Linked DNA regions of Canis lupus familiaris. The protein of the gene in region 1 interacts with the protein of each later gene in a biochemical or structural test. Links are inferred from orthologs where the notes say so. Each region holds a gene or a part of one and is shown on either strand. Other genes may lie near its edges.

Region 1 (7,273 bases):
CATATCCTTAACCTTAACCATCATATCCTTAAACATATTGCTAAATAATATGATAACATACTTAAACATCGTCTTGGATTTTCTGAGTTTTCCCTCCTACCTATAGATCTGAAATTGTTCCTGAGATTTTCTTTTTTCAGGTCAATAGGATCACTCTCCTGCCATTGCTGTTGCATTGTTGATTTTAAATTAGTCAAGTGTCCCTAAAGGTATAAAGAGTCAAAGCTTCTGGAGCTAGGCCATCACTAAACTTGCTTCCCATTCCAAGAGCAAATCCAGTGTTTCCTAGTCCTAATGAGACTTAGTCATAGTTCTGTGAGGAATACAGAGCATGATTCTATATCTTAAATTGAAAAAAACAAAACATGAACAGCCTGATGGAGTTTGTAAACTGAACTCCCAGCCTCATCACATGATAGCTTTGTGTCTTCGAGTAAGTCCCTTGATCTCTCAGTTTTCTCCATCCTCTATAAGACAGAAACAAGATCTACTCAAAAGGCTTTGCTCATCTTATTTTCAGTATATACTCTTAAAAAAGAACACACATAAATTCTAGTCTTCAATACAAAGTTCAGACTTAATTTTGTGACTTGAAACAATTTTTTTTAAAAAAAGATTATTTATTCCTGGGAGACAGAGAGAGAGAGAGGCAGAGACACAGGCAGAGGGAGAAGCAGGCTCCCTGCGGGGAGCCCGATGTGGAACTCGATCTCAGGACCCTGAGATCACACCCTGAACCAAAGGCAGATGCTCAACCTCTGAGCCACCCAGGAGTTCCATGACTTTAAACAATTCTAAACTGACTGTTTTTAATTCTAAACTGACCTTTTTAATGTTCCTTTTACAAAAAGCAAGCCCCTCCTTAAAATTCAGGGTATCGTGAAGGCATGTGTTTCTATCTTAAGTACTTTGGAATACAATTGGAAGTTGCCATAAGGAGACAGTGTATTTATTTAGGGCCTTGGTTGTTTCTCTGTTGTGCGCTATAAAGTCAAAGCCCAGATGTTACTACTTACTGTTGGCAGTGGCAAAATCCCCTCTCACAAGTTCCATTATATTCGTTGTCAATGAACTAGAGTCCTTATTGTTCTTCTGATAGTCAAAGAGTGAGTTTTTGAGCTTATTTATTCTGTTTGTAAAATCTTGATTGACTTCATCGATTAACCCTTTCATCCTGCAGCCAGAAGGGCATTTGTAGTTCTGGAAGGGAAGGGGAAAATTATATTAAAGCCTCTATCTTGAATCCAGTACAATTTTAAAAGTTTCCATGTGGCTCCCATTGCCCTCCCCCAACATCCTCTGATCATCTATTGACTTAAAAGTGGTTTGAGAGAACTAGTCATAGAGAAATTCTGGAATGAAGGTCCACTTAACCATAAATTAGGCTCCACAAAATCTTGAAGCCATAATACTCAGGTTCCTGGCATTTGCTGGAACATGCAACTAAAATCCAAGCTATCAATCCCACTAATGACCCAGGGTTTGGGAGGTAATTTAAATAGTGCTCTCATGGTGAGGCTACTTTCCAATTGTCTTTTTTAATTTGGCATGTAATGAGTTATTAGATTATTACCCGTTGGAAAAGTTTTCTGTGACTTTCTGGGTCAGTTTGTGCACAATTCTAGCACCACAGGGGAGGATTATCCCCCTCCCTATGCCCATTGCTCACCCAGTCTTCATCGGAACAGAAGGGCCAGTCTGTCTCCTTGCAGGCAGATTGCTGTCTTTCCACAATTCTTGGGCCACGTACACCTCCTCCTTCGGCTATAAATTCACCTTCTTTGGAATTTGTGGTCTTTACGGATTCATTCATACACACGAAAGAGAACAGCATTAGGCAGATAAGGAGAAGACACTGTCAAGCCTGTAAATCCCAAGGAGGGGAGGGTTCTCCCAGAGATTAAGAGCAGCAGCTCTGGGGCCTCTGCAAGCTTCATTTTTCTTACATTTTGATTGAAAATCCAAATACCTACTTCATGGAGTTTTATGAATTGAAGGAGACAGGGTATAGACATTTTTTAACTGTGTTGGACACGAAACAAGCATTTAATGAAGCTAGGTGTCTTAAAGGATTTATTATAGAAGAGAAAATATTTGAATCAACAAAAGTAATTAAAATTTACCTTTTCATTTTCAGTAATGTCTGGAGATGGAAGGGTATTTGGAAAATTCAGAGTTCTTTCTCCTATAATTTCTGTTTTAGTAGGACCAAACCTATACTACCTTAGTTTAATTTCTCTCTACTTCAAGTTTCTACTTCGGTCTTATGGGTCCGTAATTTGAGCAAGAACATACCAAGGATACAAATGTGGCCAATAAGGACTGGAAAATGCTTTTGAGGTTACCCGCTCATGTAATAATGTCCTTTTATAATTTTAATAATTATAATTTTAATTATAAAAGAATTTTAATATTTTAATATTCCTTTAATATAAAGGAATTATAAAGGAAATTTTAATAATTTCCTTTTGCAATGCAAAAGAGTAGACTGAAAGAAAAATAATGGACTGACAACTTTTTTTGAGCACCCTCTAATCAGAAATACAGATTTTTAAAAAAATTTCTATTGTGACCTATGAAGTGAAATAGGACATAAAAATCTTCCAATTAGACTTTACATCCTAATAAATCAAGATAAGTTTTAAGTTTTAGCTATTTTTATTTTGTATCACTAACATACCAAGGATTTTTGCTATGACTATTTTAATCTCGGATAGTTTATTCTTTTTGTTTGTTTGTTTTTAAGTACTCTCTATGCCCAGTAGGGACTCAAACTCACAACCCAGAGATCAAGAGTCACATCCTCTACCGACTGAGCTAACCAGGTACTCCCTTGAATAGTTTATTCTTATAATTTTTTTTAGTTTATTCTTATAATTACCTAATATTTGCTGTCTCATTTTTTTAAAGTATCCTAACAATAAAAATAATAATAATAAATAAATCAGCAATTAAGGACAGTTTATTTAAAGGAACAAGTACAATATCTTTAAGAAATAAAATTATAAATTCAAACATACTTCAGAATAAAATGGCACAACAATAAAAATAGGCAAAATTCAATACTTATGTCAATAAGGGAGAGATATCCAACATATCATGTTAGTAAATGATGTTAGTCTTCCAAATTTTTTACTTATTAGTTTACTATAAGGAAGAATATTAGGTTAGAAAACCTCTTTAGTTCTTTTGCTCTGATAGTAGGATTTATGAGTGGTGAAGGGAAAGAAAAAAATTGGAATAATTCATATCCTGAAAGTAATTGAGTTTCTTAAACATATTTATCATGTTTTTATAAGATCTAAGGGTTTCGAAAGCATCTTGAATGAAGTTTCTCTTCTATAGGTCTCTGGAGTCAAACTTTAGAAATTATAGCAATATTTAGTAATTATTTTAAAAGATTCCTTCCCACAAAAAGGATATTGCCTTCTCAATTAATGTCTCCCGACTATGTAATATGTAATAAAATATTGTTTTAGATGTTTTCAAAGACAACTAATTTGCTTTTCTTTAAAAACACACACCCACACCCACAAACAACCTTTCAGAAAACTACATTAAACCACTGTTCTGCTTATTATGGACAACTAGCAATAAATTAATCATTAGATTTTTAAAATTCTCATCAGAAGAATGCTTTTTTTCTGTTAGCTAGCATGAACTATCCCAAGGCTTTATTGGAACAAAGATGGCAAAGATTTCTTCCCTCAAAACAAATAAACAATGTTGTAAGGCTGAATTACAGATACCAAAGCTTCCCCTGTGAATTTCTATTCATTGGTCCAGTTAAGTCTCCCTCTTACTCCTGAGGTGTCAGACTCATCTAGGAACTTGCCTCCATGGCCTAGAGCTTATAAAGTCAACAGTGTGCAAGGACAAACTTAAGACTGACTCAGACCTGCAAGCGTTTTGCAGAATGAACACCAGAGAGAAAGCAAGAAGAGAAAGTAAAGGCGGCCATACCCAGACTGTGCCCACCACACTCAGGACCAGGCACAAGATCTTCGCAGAAAACATCTTTTTTAAGGGTGGAGCTCGCTCTTGAGGAGCACTCCAGCTGAAAGAAAGGAAGACTGCCTCCACTCTTAGTTCCTATCCTTTTTAAATCTGCAAGGAGGTTTGATTAATCATTATCTTTGTCCTGTTTAGACAGTCAACATGCGCTCTACAACCCTTGCTGCTTCTCTAAGGATGGTGCCCCAGAATTTCTTGCTCAATTCCCCCATGCTTGTTTGCTTTTGATAAGCTGTTGCAAAGGTACCTTGGGGCAATTCCAGGACAACCTCACATTCCAGGAACAGGATGACTTTAGAAATGCAAGAGGAAAACATAGGAAGATGTACCCCTGCTCGAGTACTTGGAGTACTTGAGACAATATGGAGGGTGGCTGAGGCAGGCTAGCAGTAGCCCACTGCAAACAGAGATTTGGCAAATATTTCACTTTGTGTAGGAATTATGGTTGGATGATCTGACTTTTTAAAAATGACTGTGGTGGGGGCACCTGGGTGGCTCAGGTGGCTGAGCATCTGACTCTTACTTTCGGCTCAGGTCATGATCTCAGGGTCCTGGGATGGAGCCCTGCTTCTGGCTCACTGCTCAGCAGGGAGTCTGCTTCTCCCTCTTATGCTGTCCCTCCCCCTCTTCTAAATAAATAAATAAATAAATAAATAAATAAAAATAAATAAATATTCAAAAAATGACAGTAGTGATAGGCTGACCCTGAAGTCCTTCTATAAGTTACCTTGAATGGATTCTTTTCCTCTATCCAATATGATGAAGACAGTAGACCCTGGAGCCAAACATCTTATGTTCATAATCTCAATTACACCGTTTCCCAGCTCTGTGCTTTGGGGCAAATTACATGTTTTTATGAAGAACAAATGAGTTGATCTTTGTAAAGCCCTCAGAGCAGTGATTGCCACGTAGGAAGTACTCAGTGAGTGTTAACAACTATTAGGGAACATAAAGTGCCATGAAAAAATACCATTTCTTTCCTGTGTCTATGTCTTTGGACATGCCAGTCTACTTTCTCTGCTTTTCATCTTCATATGAAAACTGTCCTTGGCCAGATCTAGCAAACAAAAAACCAGGATGCCCAGTAAAATTTGAATTTCAGAAAAACGGCAAATACATTTTAATATGTTTTGTCCCATGCAATCTTTGGGACATACATATACTAAAAAGTGCTATCAGAAATGCATATTTAACTGTGCATCTTGTAATTTTCTGGCAAACCTACTTTGCCTCAAATTCTGGTCCCTATGTGAAGTCATTTCTGATAATAGTAATACCTAATACTTATTGAGTGTTTGCTAAGTGCCACGGAGTTTGCTAGACACTTTACATCATACCTTATTCCATCTCTCCAATTAAAAGCAATCTCTTGCTCTTCCATACTTCTTTAGACCATGTACCACTCATGGCATTTACCACTGTAGGAGTACTATCCTTCACTAGATCACAGTGTTGAGAATGGACATATTTTAATTGGTCTTTCTGTTGTCCCAAAAGCATGGGCCCTCACTGAGCAAGAAAACATGAGGGCAAAGTTGACCCGCCATGCCCTCAGGCACTATAGGCATGTGAAGCTTGCTGTAAGTGCATGAAAGTCCTGGTATAAGGCAGCACCCTCCTTCACTGCTTGCTCTATGGAAGGTTTTGATCAAGCTCACTCCTGATGTTGCTTTCTTGGATTTCTAGAGGCAGCTGCAAAAGGGAACCCTAGAGCCCATCCAGGTTCTGGAAGACAGAGATTCCATGGAAAGTTGAGTTATTCTCAATCGGCAGTGACTAAACTGGCAAAATGCCAGGCATGGATAGAAACTTGAGGGAGGCCTGACCTCTTCAGGTGACTTGTCTGCTCGCAGGAAGTGTTCCTCTTGGGAAGTGAACACAGTATATGGAAGATGCTCCTAGGGAGTAACCTGGTGGGCTTCAGGTGATTCGGTTGAACATAATCGAATTCAAAGTAAGTTAACAGAAAACAGTTTGAACAGAAAGCATTCATTTGGTGGAATGCCCCAGTTCTGAGCCACATCAAGGCATTTCCAAGGTACTATCTTTAGCTTTTCTTATTGCTGTTCCATGATTCCCTCAAGAATCTGTACATAAAAAAACCAGGATGCCCAGTAAAATTTGAATTTCAGAAAAATGGCAAATACATTTTAATATGTTTTGTCCCATGGTACCTGGGTGGCTCAGTGGTTGAGTGTCTGCCTTTGGCTCAGGTCCTGATCTTGGGGTCCTGGGATCAAGTCCCACATGGGACTCCCTGCGAGGAACCTGCTTCTCCCTCTGCCTGTCTCTGCCTATCTCTCTGCATGTCTCATGAATAAATAATTTTTTTTTTTTTAAAGAATCAGTACATCCAAGTCTTTTCTCAAATGGTATCTCCTCAGAGACGCCTTCTTGGACCAGCTTACTTACAGAACAGCCATACCCTTAACAAAGTTTTGTTTCTCTTCATATTTTATCATATATTTTATCACATCATGTATTTATCCCTTCATATTTTATCACATTATCAAGAAAATGTATATTTTGGGAAGTTATTTGTTTGTGTCCCCCTAAACTAAGCTTCATGAGGCCAAAGCACACTGCCTAGTACAAGATTAGGCATAGAGGGGCATCTGGGTGGCTCAGTCGGTTAAGTGTTTGCCTTCAGCTCAGGTCACCACCCCATGTGGGGCTCCCTGCCCAGCAAAGTCTGTTTCTCCCTCTGCCCCTCCCCCAACTCGTGCTCTCTTGCACACATTCTCTCTCTCTCTCAAATAAATAAATAAGATCTTAAAAAAAGATCAGGCCTAGAGTAAACACTAATAAGTATTTGTTGGAGGAATGAAAGGCTGTCACAGTGGCAGCACAGTACAGTGGAAGAAGAATGGCCTTTGCAGAGAATGGGATCTGGATTCTAGCTAAGTCACATAGATTTAGCCAAACTTGCTTTTTTGAGCAAGTTTACTTATCTGTGAGATGAGGATGGCAATATTTATCTTGCAGGGTTCCTGTGAGAATTATATAATATGGCACATAACTTGGATATACACATTAGAAGACCCAGAAATGGTCATTTTTGTTGTTCCTAGAATGTCCCAGTGCCACAAAATTGAAAGTTCCCATGTCTTCTCTCCAGTGCCAGAATTCTGTAACTAGGAATTTTGTGTGAGGCGTTCTTTTGGCCTGACCCTGCAGGACTGAACCCTACCAGGCTGGGCCCTCCCTCCCATGAACAAGCTGTATTATAACCTATGGAGAAGTAGGTTTTGTCTAGCCG
Region 2 (7,412 bases), on another chromosome or scaffold:
GGGGTCTGGGAGGTGCAGCCAGTTAAGAGGAAACACCAGCTTCTTCCTGTTCGCTCCCCTTCCCAAGGGTGAGCAATCACAGGCTAGAGAGAGGCTACACAGCAAGTAGATGCCCAGCAGACACCTCAGTACTGGGCAGAGCGAGCCAAACACAGTCCTTAAAGAGCTCTGGAAAACCCACTTGTCAGCTGCACTCCCCTGTGTCAGCAGCTGGACCGAGCCCCAGGGCATCAGCGTTGCTTAGGGGAATGCCAAGAAGACAGTGTCTCGGACTGTCTGCTCCACAGCACAGGGTGGGGGCCTACACTCGCCTTAACCCCGACTGGCCTCCCTCCACCCCTTCCCGCGGTGTGAACTCAGCCCAGCTTCCTGCAAAGCCCCCAGACTGTTCCCTCCACCCCAGGGCCTCAGCCCATCCCTCACTGCCTCTTGGAAGCCACGGTGACTAATGAGGATCTTCACAAATGATCGCCTACAGGCCTGAGAACAATGGCCCCAAACCTCCGTGCTCAGAAACTGCTGCTGACACATTTCCCTGAAATCAGTAATTGGATGCCTTTTTTTGTCCAATTCAGCAGATCCCAAAGTACTCGGTGATATTGCCTCTGAATTACTAAGCGCATGGGCCTCCACCCTAGCAGAGCTGAGCCCTGGTCACTCCCTGTGCATGGAAACGGCAGGGGCAGGAGCAGGGCAGAGCGGGTCTCTGAGCTCTGCCCGCTGTCTTCCTGCTGTGCCGAGGGAGGCGCCCCAGTCAGCAGGGGTGCCTGCTCCTTCCTCGCCCCTGCAGAACGCGACAGCACCTCTGCCTCCCTCACTGGCCTTGCTCAGAGGTATCCCTCCCCTCCTTTACAGGCCTCGCAAGCTTGTCCCTCTAGAAGGCTGCCCTCATAAATCACTCCAGGAGGTAATGTTCCAGCAAGGAGCCATGGTTTCCCAGTTCTCCTCCACAGGAAAGCCAGCCCCCACCCAGCAGACCCTACCCCATTGAGAAGCACAGTGAGGGCACCTACCGACACTGGTTATCTTCTGAGCACTCAGGTCGCGCAGCAGGGCTTCGATCGCAGGGTTGTGTCTGGAGTAGAGCTCGTACCGGTTAATGCCGATGTGGAACTTAAGCCAGTTGGGGTAGGAGTCCACTGCCGCCTCCCCCGTGGGCAAGAATTCTTCATTTTCAGTGCCTTCACGTGGCCTACAGAAAATGAAGGTGACCCGGAATCAGCAGGGAAAGAACAGGGTGGTAAAATCTGGATGAATAAGAGGGAGTTGGTGCCAATGCCAAGGTTTTAACTTTGGATCTAAACAAATGCAGATTTATTCAAAGATGCCTCTGCTCAGACAGGACCCTGCGGACACCCTGTACTTTTTCCGCGGCTGTTGTTCTACTAACTAATAACATATCTAAACTGTAATTCTTACTTACCCTCGGGAGACGCCCAGACAGCTATAACTAAATCAAGACTGAGCCCAGAACATCAGTGCCAGGCCCTACCGCGTCTGTCCTGGGGTCACGAAAACAGCCCAACAAGTGTTATGTCAGCTTGGGGTAGGGGAGGCTGTCACTTCTTCCTGGGGGCAGACAAGCAAGCCATCTTTGACCACGAGCTGTGTGCACATCACAGACACGCCCCGCCTGTCAGAAACCTTCCCTGGACGCTCTGTTTTGGTTCCAACAACCAAGCGTAGAAATGATGCAAGAAGCTAAATTTGATTTTAACGAGAGCAGTCTTGGGTGGGGAGAGAGGAAAGAGTCAGGCACTCACTCCAGCTGAGGCCCAAAGTGAGGACCTGCCGCCCACGTGGCCCCTCCTCACATCTCTGGAGTTGAGGGGCCAGTCTGGGGGAGGACAGAGCCTATTTGCGGCTGGGCTGGAGGGAAAGTGGAACCTGTCTTAACTCTAATTCACCTACGGATGAGGCCCTTCTGGCCCCGGGTCCTGTCCTCCAGAGGCCACATCACTGACCCCCAGCCCTGGGCTGTCTCTCCTGGGAAGAGCCCCAGGCCTAGGTCACTGCTCTGATTCTCAAGTTTCTAAGCATTTCCTTGAACCTGGCCAGCAGACAAAGCTCAGAGGCCACCAAGCACCTTGGTGTATTTAGACAGAAAAGCCTGGGCCTGGTCAAATTTCAGGGTAGAAAGGATTTTTATAAGATGTTTTGGAAAGCTGGCCTTCCCCCTGAGTTCCTTGGGTAACCTTTTGCAGGTAGGTATTTATTCTGGCCTTGCTGCTAGTTAATATTTCACTACTCTGGGCTGTAGCATCCGTTTATTCTGATCTGTGTGGCCGAGGAGGGCGTGGGGTGGGGGTGGGGGATCCTGTTTAAACCAGGACAGTTTAAAGCGATGCTCCTGAGGATGCTTCTCACCTTTTATGAAGCTGTCACCCAACGCAGCTGGCACCGTTCCAAGGGCAGCTGCTGTCTGCACCCCGGCTGGGAGAGCCCTTTTGTTATGCCTCATTGGGGCCAGCACGCCCCTCTGCTAATTTTGTTCTCAGCGGCTGGCTTACAAGGCTCATTAGGCTTTTGCAGACTTTCCTGACGTGTCCACTAGAGAAATGTCGCCGAGAATCTAAAATCTTAGCAGCCAGCAGCTCCCCAGGGAAAGGTAAGGGGCAGTCTCTGTCTCTCATTCGCTTCCTTGCCAGCTTGGGCATGCATTGCCTGACTTAGTTTCTAGAGCCAGTGACCAGGACTTTGCAGGCCAGCAACTGCTCTGCTATAGAGTCAGCACTGACCCTCCCTTGACTCCACAGGGAGCAGCTCCCAAACCACCCAGAGGCCCTTCTCAAGGAGGCAGTCACTCCAGAGACAAAGGCACTGCCCTGAGTAGGAGGCACCATGCTGCCCCGCCCCACAGAGCTCTCCTTGCCAGGGTGGGGACTCTGCCACAGGGGTCCATGCCCCCTGGGGGTTCCTGAGCCCCTACGCCTCTTTAAACAATGCCTGGATGTGCAAGGGCATCTGCGGGAAAGGGGAGCACAGGCTGATGGCTGCTTGAGGGTTCCGGGCCTGCAGGCACCCACCCTGAGCGGCCTCCGGCCTCACTCACCAGTCAGGATTCTCAGCGGCCGCCTTGGGGTTGAACCTGATGTCACTGTTCACATTGAAGAGGACGTCGTCCTCGGTGAGCGGTGGAACGGACACCTGGTAGAGCGGGTGTTCGAACAGCTTCGCCAGGAGAGAGCTGTCCCCGCTCGGGCCAGGGGGCGGCACCGACCGGCGCGGCCCGGGGTCTCGGAGCAGTGGCCGGTGCGCGGGATCGCGGGGCCGGGGCCGGCCGGGATCCTGCCCCTGCAAGGCGCCTTCGGCCGGGTCGGCCGCGGCCGGCAGTTTCTCCAGCGAGTGGGACGTGAGGTTGGAGGAAGGGTCGGAGCTAAAGTCCTGCAGGATACGCAGCGTGTGTTTGTTGGGCCAGCCCCCGTCGCCCGCCGCGGAAGCGGGCTCCCCCGGGCGTCCCCGCGCCTTGGCCCAGCCCGGCGCAGCCGCCTCCACCGCGGGCTGCGCGCACGAGCACCCGGGCTCCCCCGAGGGCCGCACGGCGCGCCGCTCCAGCTTGGGCAGCAAGTCCAGCACGATGTGCAGCGCGCAGGCCACCAGGAACACCATCAGGATGAGCACGCGGAACCTGCGCACCAGGATCATCTTCATGGCCGCGCGGGCGAGCGCCGCCTGGGACTCCGGGAGCCCTCCCGGGGCGCGCTCCGCCCGGCCCCGGCTAGTCTTGGCTTGGCACGAACGCACTGCCGAGGCACAGGTCAAGGTCCATCTGGCGGCGGCCGGCTACCAGCTCCAGGGCTGTCCCCCGGCGCGCACCACGTGTGGGGCGCCCACCGCCGAAGAGCCCGCTCGCCGGGCCATCTCGGGGGCCGTTCCCCCTCGCCTCCCCGGAGCGGCCGCGCCCTCGGCGGCCGGGCCCAGCGGCCCTCGTCCGCGGAGCTGGGTGCGCAGCCCGGCGAGGCCGCACGCACGCAGCGGCCGGCTTGGGGTCTCTGCGCTCATCCGGCGCGCGGGGGCCCGACGCTGCGGCCCATCTAGGCCAGGGCGCGGCGGCCTGGGGGTGGCGGTGAGATGGCTCCGCGCAGTCCCCTCCGCCGCTCCGTGGGCCGGCCCGGCCGAGAGGGGGCGGCTCCTCCGGGCAGGGCTGGTCTCCCTCCCGCGGCGGCCCGGAGGCGGGGACCTGGGGGGGGAGCCGGGCGCAGGACGGCGGGGACCGGGCGGGGGCGGGCACAGGGCGGGGGGCGCGCGGGGCGGCCGGGGAGTCCCCAGGCAGGTGCAGCGGCCGTCCCCCGAGCGCAGCGCCCGCCCGGCGGAGCCTCTCGGCGCCCCGCGCCCGGGCCGGCAGATATCCGAGAGCCGCGGAGCCGCCCCCCGCGTCAGCGCCCGCAGATTGGCGGAGACGCCGCCCCGCGAGTCACGGCCAGACCCGAGCCGACTCCGCTCCCTCTTTCTCCTCCCCTCGGCCGCGCCCCGCGCCGCCTCTGCAGCTCCGGGCCCGCGAAGGAGAGGGCGCCTCCTTCCCGCGGCTGCCGAGCGAAGACGGAGAGACCCGAGAGACGAAGGCCGGGGGGCGCGGGCGCAGCGGGCCGGCTCCTGCGGGAGGGGAGCGGGCGCGGGCGCTGGGGGGCGGGGGTGCCCCCGGGCCGGGCCGCCGCTCGCGGGACCTCGCCTGCCCGGGCCGGCGGCCGCCAGCTGCAGCCGCGCGGCTCCTCCCCAGATGAGCCGAGGGCCAGAGCCCAGGCCAAGTCCCTCCCCGGAGCCGCGGGGCGTCTGCGCCGCCGGACGAGCTCCCCGCCGGGCGGCGACCTGGTGCCCCCCGCCCCCGCCCCGGGAGGCCCCCGCGCGCCCCGCTGCCGGCCGGGGAGGAGGGGGAGCCCCGGCGCCGCCGCGAAAGAAACGCGAGGAGCTCGGTATTCGGCCCAATAGCAAATCCGGAGGGGATGCCGGAGCTGCCCCTGCGCCCGGCCGGGCCTCACCCCACCCCAAGGGGACACGCCTGCGCCTTAACTCTGGTGGCGCGGGCGCCCCCGTGCAAGGATTCGCCTGGCACTGAGAGATACCTGGCGTTTGCAGAGGCCGCACCTCCCTGGCTGGTGTGTGTGCGCCGTTTGCTTCCTACGCGCAGAATCACCCACCCATACCCAGGGGCGGGCCACTTCTACGTGGCCTCTTCTGGGCCCCCAGTGGGGAATATTCATGTGAATGTCTAAAGTCCTGGTGAGAAGTGTAAGTGACCCTGGCCGGGGAAGGCAGTCCAAACACATCCGCAGCCAAGCAAACAGGCTGTCTGCCCCATGCCCTCAAGGCACTGTGAATTTTCAGCCTCTCTGTGGAGAAGCAGTCTCTGGTGGGGAGCCTGGCGGGGTGCCCCCACTGTCTGGTGCACTTGCAGTGCTGCCTGGGCATCTCCCTGCCCTCTCTGGACTTCAGTTTCCCCTTACCTGCATTCACAGCACTTCTGCGTCTGGCCCAGGGCCCAACATGCAGTAGGCACCCACTAGCTGCTTGTGGTGAAGAAGAGGAGTCCCCGCCCAGCTGGTCAGTGAAGTAAGTGAAAAGGTCACTCAGCCCTTCTGGAGCTGGAAATGGAAGTTGGACGGGCAGAGTGTGAGCGTGGATCTGATCTGGAGATGGAGCTCCCCCTCCTTCCCACACTGACGGCGCCATTTGTGTGCCAAAGAGGTCACTTTGGGCAAGGTTACCCAGAGAGGCCGAGGAGACGGCGTCCACGCTGAGATGGAGGCTCCCTTTCACGAAGGGAGCAGGACCCTGAGCTCCACACGTCTTCCTTGGCCTTGGGATTCTGTAGCCTCTGGCTGCTTCAGCGGTCCCCTGGTCCATGTCCTCAGGGTGGCTGTGGGGTGGCCTGACCCCATGAACCGTAGACATCATGTAGAGGGGAGCTTATTTTCATGCCCCTCCCCTGCTAAATTCTTTGGGGAGCTTAGTTGGACTTCTGTTCACCACTGGATGGCTCCCTTGCATAGTCCTTGGTTCATTTCAACTATCACCTTGAAGAAGCATTATCTCGCTGACCACATGGTTTCAAAGTATCCTCACCCCCTTCCCTCAATGTCCCACCATTCTATTTTCCCAACAACACCCACCACTATTGGAAGGCAACATCTTCTGTTTTTGTTTATGGCCTGTCTCCCCTAAAAGGCACATGCCCCACTAAGTAGGAGCCTTCCATGATGCCTTGTTCACAACTCTGTCCTGGTGCAGAGCAGGTGCTCAGAGCAGACCACAAGCCACCATCCAACTTGGGGTCAGGTGTTAGCAAGCTAAGGTGCACACATGAAATGGCCTTTGAAAACCGAGCACATGCTATAGGGGACGGACCATGAAAACCCTTGGCTGAATTTTTATGCCTAGTGTCTTTATACTTTGCTCTGAGGAGTAATTTGATTTGGTTCAATCCATTTATCTGTGGAAATCACAAAAAACAAACACACACAGACACACACAGAGAGGCACATTCACACACACATATACACAGACAGATGCACACAGACACACATGCACACGTGCACATAGTGCCTGAAGCTCCTCAGGCTTCTGCCTTATGGTCTCTGGACAAAGGCCTGGGGGCCAGGCTGGGCTGCTCTGGGAAGGGCCCCAGGGGACTGACATGAGGCCTTGTCAGAGACCAGGGAACAGTTCTGGGGGCTGGAGCTCCAATGAACTGATGTAAAATAAGTCAGGTGGTAACAAGAATTATGTCGAAAATCAAATTGGTGCAGCCGAGAGAGGGAATTGGACATTCTGGCTGAGGTGAAGGAAGACCCCTGAGAAAGTGACATTTGGTCAGAAATGTGCACATGAAAGAATAAGCAACTTGGAGGTCTGTGGGAATGGGGTCTGGGTGGGGGGCTGAAGGTGACACGGTCCTAGGATGGGATGATGTCTGGCAGTTTCCTCAAGGTTGGAATTGAGTGATGGAGACAGCAGGCTAGGGCAACCCACAGGAGGCCAGCAGCCACCAGACGATAGAGACAGAGAGACGTGGTAGCCTCAGGGCAGGAAAGGCTGGCTTGGGGCTGTGCCCACATGGCAACAGCAGCACAGCCGTAAAGGTGGGAGGTGGCAGGTCAGACCCGGGTGGGGTGGGCTCCCCATGTCCTGGGCTCAGACATTTGAAAGTAGAATAAAGAATCTGCCATGGGTAAGGAAGGGGAGTGCCCCAGGATGGGCCCTGGAAGACCAGGTTTGGGTGCTAGGGTTAAGGAGTCTGATTTTGGACTGTGAGTTGCCGGTGTACACAGAGCCATAGGTCGTGCCCAAAGGATCAGGAAAGAATGGGTGGCAGGGCCAAGACTTGGGCCCTGGGACCTCTGCCCCTGAGGCCAGGAGGGAGGTGACCCATCTGGTAAGCAGACAAGGAGCACCCCAAGCCATGTCGGCCTGCTGGT
Region 3 (7,312 bases), on another chromosome or scaffold:
GGGAGGTAGGGATAGAAGGTGAAATGCAGCAGAAGAAGGGGTTTAGTAGAATGTGGAGGACAGAGATCTAGCTCCCTCTTGTTGAGGTAAGGTGCTGGTCAATGTAGGCTTCCTGGAACTGATGTTATATAAGTTGCTTGTTGAACAAAATGAAGAGGTGCTCCTGACAGAGCATATTGCCAAGAGGTGACCGTTGCTTGGGGTGCAGGGTGATAGCAGCAAGCAGCCAGAGCCCCTTACTCTTCAGCACAAACACCGTCCATTGGCTAAAGGAATATGATTCACACACCCCAGGCTCTCCCTCCCAGGGCATCTCTAGGAGGAAGTATGGTTTGGAAAGCCCAAGAGTTCCAAGGGATATAAGAGCCTCTGGGACACGAGTTCAGTTTTGATTCCCTAATGTCTGGTTATAAATGGAATATTTGTGACCATATAATAAACAGAAAAGGCTTTGAATACAAAGATAGCCTCATATCTAGGTTCAGCCTGACCTTGAAGTGGGTTACTTCCAAGGTTCAGGGTGGAATCAGGTTTTATAGATCAGTCCAACCAACCTCTCCAAACCACTGATACATGTTGTCAGGAGGATCACGTAGCCAAACTGGGCCTGCTGGCCAAGAGTCACCCTCAGAATCATGGCTGTTGGCACAGATGGTGTTAGGCAGCTGCTAAAGACACACAATTGTATTAGTTTTATAGGAAGAACAGTTAGTTAGTATTGTCTGGGTAACCATACTAGGCACCAGAACTTGCCCAAGTCATCTCTTTAAAAAATGTTTATGAGGGATGCCTTCGGCTCAGGGCATGATCCCAGTCCAGGGATCAAGTCCCACATGGGGCTCCCTGTGAGGAGCCTGTGTCTCCCTCTGCCTGTGTCTCTGCCTCTTTCTGTGTCTCTCATGAAGAAATGAATAAAATCTTTTAAAAAATGTTTATGAAATGCCTGCTGCATGCCTGCATGTGTTTCCTTTTCCCTTCTGTCGTACATGTTATTTTTCAGGTATCAAGAGGCTTGTCTGTTGCTTTACCCTCTTCTCCAAAAATCTGTTTCTCGGGCAGGAGAATGTAACAAAAGATCACCAAGAATATATGCTATTCTTATATATGGAAGTAGACTACTAAGCCAGTATTCGGAGGCCGTGTGGCTGAACTTGGGGTTGGACCAGAGCAAATGATCTCTAAGGTTCTAATTCTGACTTTCTATGAGTCTAAATTTGTCTTCATTCCTTTATCCGGTTTGATTTGAGACTACCGTGCAGTTTTGTGAGCTGGCTGGCTAAGATGAGGCTTATAGCCTGAAAGTATGGACAGAAATTTTCAGGGCACCTGGGTGGCTCAGTCACTTGAGCATCTGCCTTTGGCTCAGGTCATGATCCTGGGGTCCTAGGATTGAGCCCTGCATTGGGGTCCCTGCTCAATGGGGAGCCTGCTTCTTCCTCTCCTCCCCACTCATTCTCTCTCTCTCTCTCTCTCTCTCTCAAATAAATAAAATCTTTAAACAAAAAAAACAACAAAAAAAGAATTTTTCCATGCAAAGTAAATAACCAAAAAAATGAATGAATAGAATATTCTGGTCACTCATTGTCCATCCTAGCCATCTTATCAGAGCAGAGCTGAAATTCACTCACAGTAGTAGAAATTTTATTCTGAGACTGCAGATGCACAATGCCAAATAACCAAGTAAAATTGAACATTTCAACTCAAAACCTAAATCCTTCCTCACCATCAGGCACTCAGTATCTCTGAGAAGTGTATGGACTTTGAATTTCGACTGGAGCTAAGTTCACCACCACTGCTGTGAACAATATTGCCCCCTTGGCTCTCTGATAGACAATAACCTGCCCACATTTTAGAAGCTTCAGAAGTCCTGAAGCTGGTGCTGCTCCTTCCAAATGATGATCTTCATCAAAGGGGCCCTTCAGTTGGTATAAAACCCCATAACCAGAAAAGCTGCCATTTGCAGATTAGTAACAGGCCTCCCCTGGACAGTAAGTTTCCCCAAATGTTCTGCAGTCCCAGCCAGTCACTTACAAAAACCTTAGATCAATATGGTCACTGGGTATGGCTGGGCTGCTGGTTACAGTAATTTGAAATGTACTGAGCACGGTTCTGCTCAACATGTTATGACCCAGGGAAATGAAGCCGAGTCCCAGAGCTCCTCCTCAGTGAGCACAAAGCACTGCTGTCCCTCAGCTACTCCCTGGCTGCATGAACTGTGCCAGCGTGTGAGGAAGCCACTGACAGTAGCACAGACACCAGGAGTATCTGATAGGAGGCATCACAAAATAAACTAGGTTGGTCTAAGGGAGTCTGGACAGAGACTGAGCCACTGGTCGGAGAGAAGCTACCACTTATTCTTGAGGAGATGCAGAGCTTTGAGGTTGGTGTCTCTGAGAACACTTCAGGTAGAATAAATTGATGGGTTGTGTGGAGCTATTTCTATTTCAATATTCACAAATCTCTGCAGGTACCTAGTCTGGCTCACGCTGTCATATATTGATTCTGGACAAGTCAGTGTCTAGATCCCAGGATGAGTCTTCCTGCCCATGGGCAAGAACTGCTAGGAAGTCACCTTTGAGGGGACTCCACTTCAGAGTTGTATTTGCAGGATCTCTTCATGGAGTTGCAAATGCACACACACACACACACACACACACACACAATCTAATTTTTTTCCATCATCAATCCACCACCGGAGATCACTATTATTAATCCAACTTCAGCTCCAGAAAAATCATCATTTCCACACTTCTTTGCATTTAAGTTTCTCGCTAGTTACCTGGGAGCTCAGTGGGTTTTCCTCCTTTCCTGGCTCCCTCCAGCCCTCCCTCCCAGGGAGGTTAAGAAAATACAGATAATAACTGAAAATTTGGAAAGCCCTAATATGCTCCCTGCAGAGTGCCTTAGGAAGAAGAGCATTGATGTTCTGTTCCTCCTTGTAATTGAAAAGTCCTTACAGAGGACCTCACACTTGCACACTGCGCAAAACGCCTGGGAACAAGCTGACCAGTTGAAATGAGGGGGACGTGGGGAAGGGGGGAGGAGGGTTGGGGATTGGGGGCCTTTCTCTGACAGTCCCATCTGTCTTTTGTCCTTTGATCACCAGCACTTCCCACCTAGGTAACCAAGCTCCAAGGCAAGTGACCCGCCGCGCAACCCCCACCATCCCCAGCCTGGGCTTCTTACTGGGCTCACTGGGGGAGGGAGGCAGCCCGACACCCCCCTTGGACCCTCCGGGCTCGCAGAGCCACCAGTAGCCAGGGCAGCTGACTCCACTTTCTTGCCCCTTAGTCATGAAGGGCTCCCATTGTCTCTTCAGAGCATTTCTCTGATTCTTTTCACTTTTCCTTTGACCCTGCAAGCAGAGATTTCTTCTTCAAAGAAATGAACCCTCCCCCTGTCTCTCCCCTGACCGCCCTCGCTCCTCCAAAACGCTTCAGCCTAACCCAATGAAATGCAGATGCAAAAAGAAGGATCCCTATGGGCTCGGATTCCAGCTAATCCGCTTTTTGCCTGAATTACAAAGTCAGTCCCTCGTGAAGGCATTCCTCTATTTGGCTCCGTTTGCCAGAAAGACTTTTGAGAGAGACAAGAGGAGCCGGGCGGGCAGAGAGGCAGAGAACTCAGCTTACCGCCGCCGCTCGCCTTCCTCGCCGTCCTTCCTCGCCCCTGGCAGCCTCCTCCGCGGCTCCCGCAGGCCTCGGCTCCAGCGCCCCCGCGCAGCTCCGGGCTGCCTACATTTCAAGGCAGAGGGTGGGGTCAGGGGCCCTGGTGGGCGGGTTTCTCTGCGGCTGGAGGATGCCCACTGGACAGGGCCAGCAGGGTGCCCGATGGGGCCCGGCCTGTTTTCCTAAAGAGGGGGAGGAAGTTTGTGATGGAAGCAGCACAGCCTAACCTGGCTCAGGGCCAGCGGGATTATTCACAATCCTGATGTCATCGAATCACAGGAATTTGGGAGTTAGACGGAACCTTAACAATCATTTTCCTTCAAAGCCCTAGACTATGACCTAAATGGGACCCTCTGGATCAGCTGGCTGTAAGCCTATCTTGGAAGCAAGAATTTACGATTTGAAACAAATACACACGGAGGAGGCCCCAGGGGTTCTTCCGGAAGGAATCTCCCCCAGGAATTCTGAGCCTCTGGGCACAAGAGGTTGGAAGAACTGGACAGGTTGACTGGTTCCCTCCAGGAGCAGAAGTGCCAGGGTTGGAGCACCTGGGGTGCGGGCTTGGCGGGCGGCGGTAAGCAAAGGCACGCAGGGCAGTGGAAAGTACCCCAGCCTGGAATCTGCACCAGGCACCTGCCCTGCCACTCCTCAGCCCCACGATCATGGAGATAATCATTGCACTTCTCTGCAAAGTGATGACTGAGGTCTTCAGCTCCAGTATTCCCCGTGTGGGATATGGAATAAAGGTGGGGATGGGGCTGTTGAGCCAACGCTCTGTCTAAACCTTTTTTCTGCACAGCCTCACCTGAATCCTCTCCTTGGCTATCCATCCCTTAAACTGAGGGAAGCTTTCCCCGTTCTGGAGTCTGCTCTTAAATGTAACCGCTCCTGGAAACGGGGCAACCTGTTTGACCTGTTAACACCTACCAATGACTGATAAGCTGCAAGTATAGGGAGAGGCTTAGGCTTGAGCCAGCCGTACCAGTAATGAGGGATGTGACCTCAGCCAGGGTTTGTAGTCGTGCTGAGCTCCCACTGCTGAGGTCACGGGCATGGATTAGAGCAACGATGTCTAATCGCAGGGCTCCATACATGGCATCTGTATCATTGGTCGGTGTGTGGCTGAGACAAGGCAGTGGGAAAAGAGAGAACAAGAGAAGGCTCTTCTAGGGGAGGCCAGATTCCGTATATTCTGATCCTGAATGTACTCAAGCAATGAGGGCTGATTTTGAGGTGGGAAAATCAGGTAGTTGGGCCCAAAGTCAAAGGGTGTTTCTATTTTTTTTTGGAACAGTAGCTCTGCCAATGGCTATTATAAAAAAGGAGAAGTGCAGGGCCAAGTTAGGTACAGAGCATGGAGCCAGGACATGCTTTTCATGGCAATTTGGTTCAGCGGGGATGGAGAGGTGGTATAAAAAGTCTTTATTTTTTATTTATTTATTTTTATTGAAATCTTTCTTTCTTTCTTTCTTTAATATATATATATATATTTTTTTTATTGGAGTTCAATTTGCCAACATATAGCATAACACCCAGTACTCATCCCGCCGAGTGCCCCCCTTAATGCCCGTCACCCAGTCACCCCAACCCCCCACCCACCTCCCTTTCCACCACCCCTTGTTCGTTTCCCAGAGTTAGATGTCTCTCATGGTTTATCACCCTCACTAATATTTTCACTCATTTTCTCTCCTTTCCTCTTTATTCCCTTTCACTATTTTTTATACTCCCCAAATGAATGAGACCATATAATGTTTGTCCTTCTCTGATTGACTTATTTCACTCAGCATAATACCCTCCAGTTCCATCCACGTCGAAGCAAATGGTGGGTATTTGTCGTTTCTAATGGCGGAGTAATATTCCATTGTATATATAGATCACATCTTCTTTATCCATTCATCTTTTGGTGGACAATTGAGGCTCCTTCCACAGTTTGGCTATTGTAGACATTGCTGCTATAAACATGAGGGTGCAAGTGTTCCAGCATTTCACTGCATCTGTATCTTTGGGTAAATCCCCAGCAGTGCAATTGCTGGGTCATAGGGCAGAGACTCCACTCCAAGATTGCTAGAACAGATACAGCAATTTGGCAGTGTGGCAGGATACAAAATCAATGCCCAGAAATCAGTGGCATTTCTATACACTAACAATGAGACTGAAGAAAGAGAAATTAAGGAGTCAATCCCATTTACAATTGCACCCAAAAGCATAAGATACCTAGGAATAAACCTAACCGAAGAGGTAAAGTATCTATAGCTGAAAAACTACAGAACACTTCTGAAAGAAATTGAGGACGACACAAAGAGATGGAAAAACATTCCATGCTCATGGATTGGCAGAATTAATATTGTTAAAATGTCAATGTTACCCCGGGCAATTTATACGTTTAATGCAATCCTTATCAAAATACCATGGACTTTCTTCAGAGAGTTGGAACAAATCATCTTAAGATTTGTGTGGAATCAGGGGATTCCTGGGTGGCTGAGTGGTTTGGCGCCTGCCTTTGGCCCAGGGCTCTATCCTGGAGTCCTGGGATCAAGTCCCATGTCAGGCTTCTTGCATGGAGCCTGCTTCTCCCTCTGCCTGTGTCTCTGCCTCTCTCTCTCTCTCTCTCTCTCTGTGTCTATCATGAACAAATAAATTTTTTTAAAAAAGGATTTGTGTGGAATCAGAAAAGACCCCAAATAGCAAGGGGAATATTAAAAAAGAAAACCATATCTGGAGGCATCACAATGCCAGATTTCAGGTTGTACTACAAAGCTGTGGTCATCAAGACAGTGTGGTACTGGCACAAAACCAGACACATAGATCAATGGAACAGAAGAGAGAATCCAGAAGTGGACCCTCAACTCTATGGTCAACTAATATTCGACAAAGCAGGAAAGACTATCCACTGGAAAAAGGACAGTCTCTTCAATAAATGGTGCTGGGAAAATTGGACATCCACATGCAGAAGAATGAAACTAGACCATTCTCTTACACCATACACAAAGATAAACTCAAAATGGATGAAAAATCTAAATGTGAGACAAGAATCCATCAAAATCCTAGAGAAGAACACAGGCAACACCCTTTTTGAACTTGGCCACAGCAACTTCTTGCAAGATACATCCATGAAGGCAAGAGAAACAAAAGCAAAAATGAATTATTGGGACTTCATCAAGATAAAGAGCTTCTGCACAGCCAAAGAAACAGTCACCAAAACTCAAAGACAACCTACAGAATGGGAGAAGATATTTGCAAATGACCTATCAGATAAAGGGCTAGTATCCAAGATCTATAAAGAACTTATTAAACTCAACAGCAAAGAAACAAACAGGGAACCCTGGGTGGCGCAGCGGTTTGGTGCCTGCCTTTGTCCCAGGGCGCGATCCTGGAGACCCAGGATCGAATGCCACAGTTGGGCTCCCGGTGCATGGAGCCTGCTTCTCTCCCTCTGCCTATGTCTCTGCCTCTCTCTCTCTCTCTCTCTGTGTGACCATCATAAATAAATAAAAATTTTAAAAAAAAATTTAAAAAAAGAACTTTCTAAAAAAAAAAAAAAAGAAAAAAGAAACAAACAATAAAATCCTGAAATGGGCAAAGACATGAACAGAAATCTCACAGAGGAAGACACAGACATGGCCAACAAGCACATGAGAAAATGC

Evidence for each region.
Region 2: of the proteins of FGA (region 1) and FAM20C, one has a biochemical effect on the other in vitro, tested with the Homo sapiens proteins (2 studies listed by IntAct). The link is inferred for Canis lupus familiaris from reciprocal best matches to the Homo sapiens genes FGA and FAM20C.
Region 3: the proteins of FGA (region 1) and PLAT form a complex in vitro, tested with the Homo sapiens proteins (2 studies listed by BioGRID). The link is inferred for Canis lupus familiaris from reciprocal best matches to the Homo sapiens genes FGA and PLAT.

The regions. Positions count from the first base shown.
Region 1 is NC_049236.1:52,603,947-52,611,219, forward strand, and holds the start of FGA (fibrinogen alpha chain), read right to left. Parts: upstream 4,123-7,273; 5' UTR 4,018-4,122; coding exon 3,964-4,017; intron 1,796-3,963; coding exon 1,670-1,795; intron 1,201-1,669; coding exon 1,017-1,200; intron 1-1,016. UniProt on the Homo sapiens protein: Cleaved by the protease thrombin to yield monomers which, together with fibrinogen beta (FGB) and fibrinogen gamma (FGG), polymerize to form an insoluble fibrin matrix. Fibrin has a major function in hemostasis as one of the primary components of blood clots.
Region 2 is NC_049227.1:16,641,945-16,649,356, forward strand, and holds the start of FAM20C (extracellular serine/threonine protein kinase FAM20C), read right to left. Parts: upstream 3,799-7,412; 5' UTR 3,652-3,798; coding exon 3,053-3,651; intron 1,193-3,052; coding exon 1,014-1,192; intron 1-1,013. UniProt on the Homo sapiens protein: Golgi serine/threonine protein kinase that phosphorylates secretory pathway proteins within Ser-x-Glu/pSer motifs and plays a key role in biomineralization of bones and teeth.
Region 3 is NC_049237.1:24,199,576-24,206,887, reverse strand, and holds the start of PLAT (tissue-type plasminogen activator), read right to left. Parts: upstream 3,799-7,312; 5' UTR 3,633-3,798; intron 1-3,632. UniProt on the Homo sapiens protein: Converts the abundant, but inactive, zymogen plasminogen to plasmin by hydrolyzing a single Arg-Val bond in plasminogen.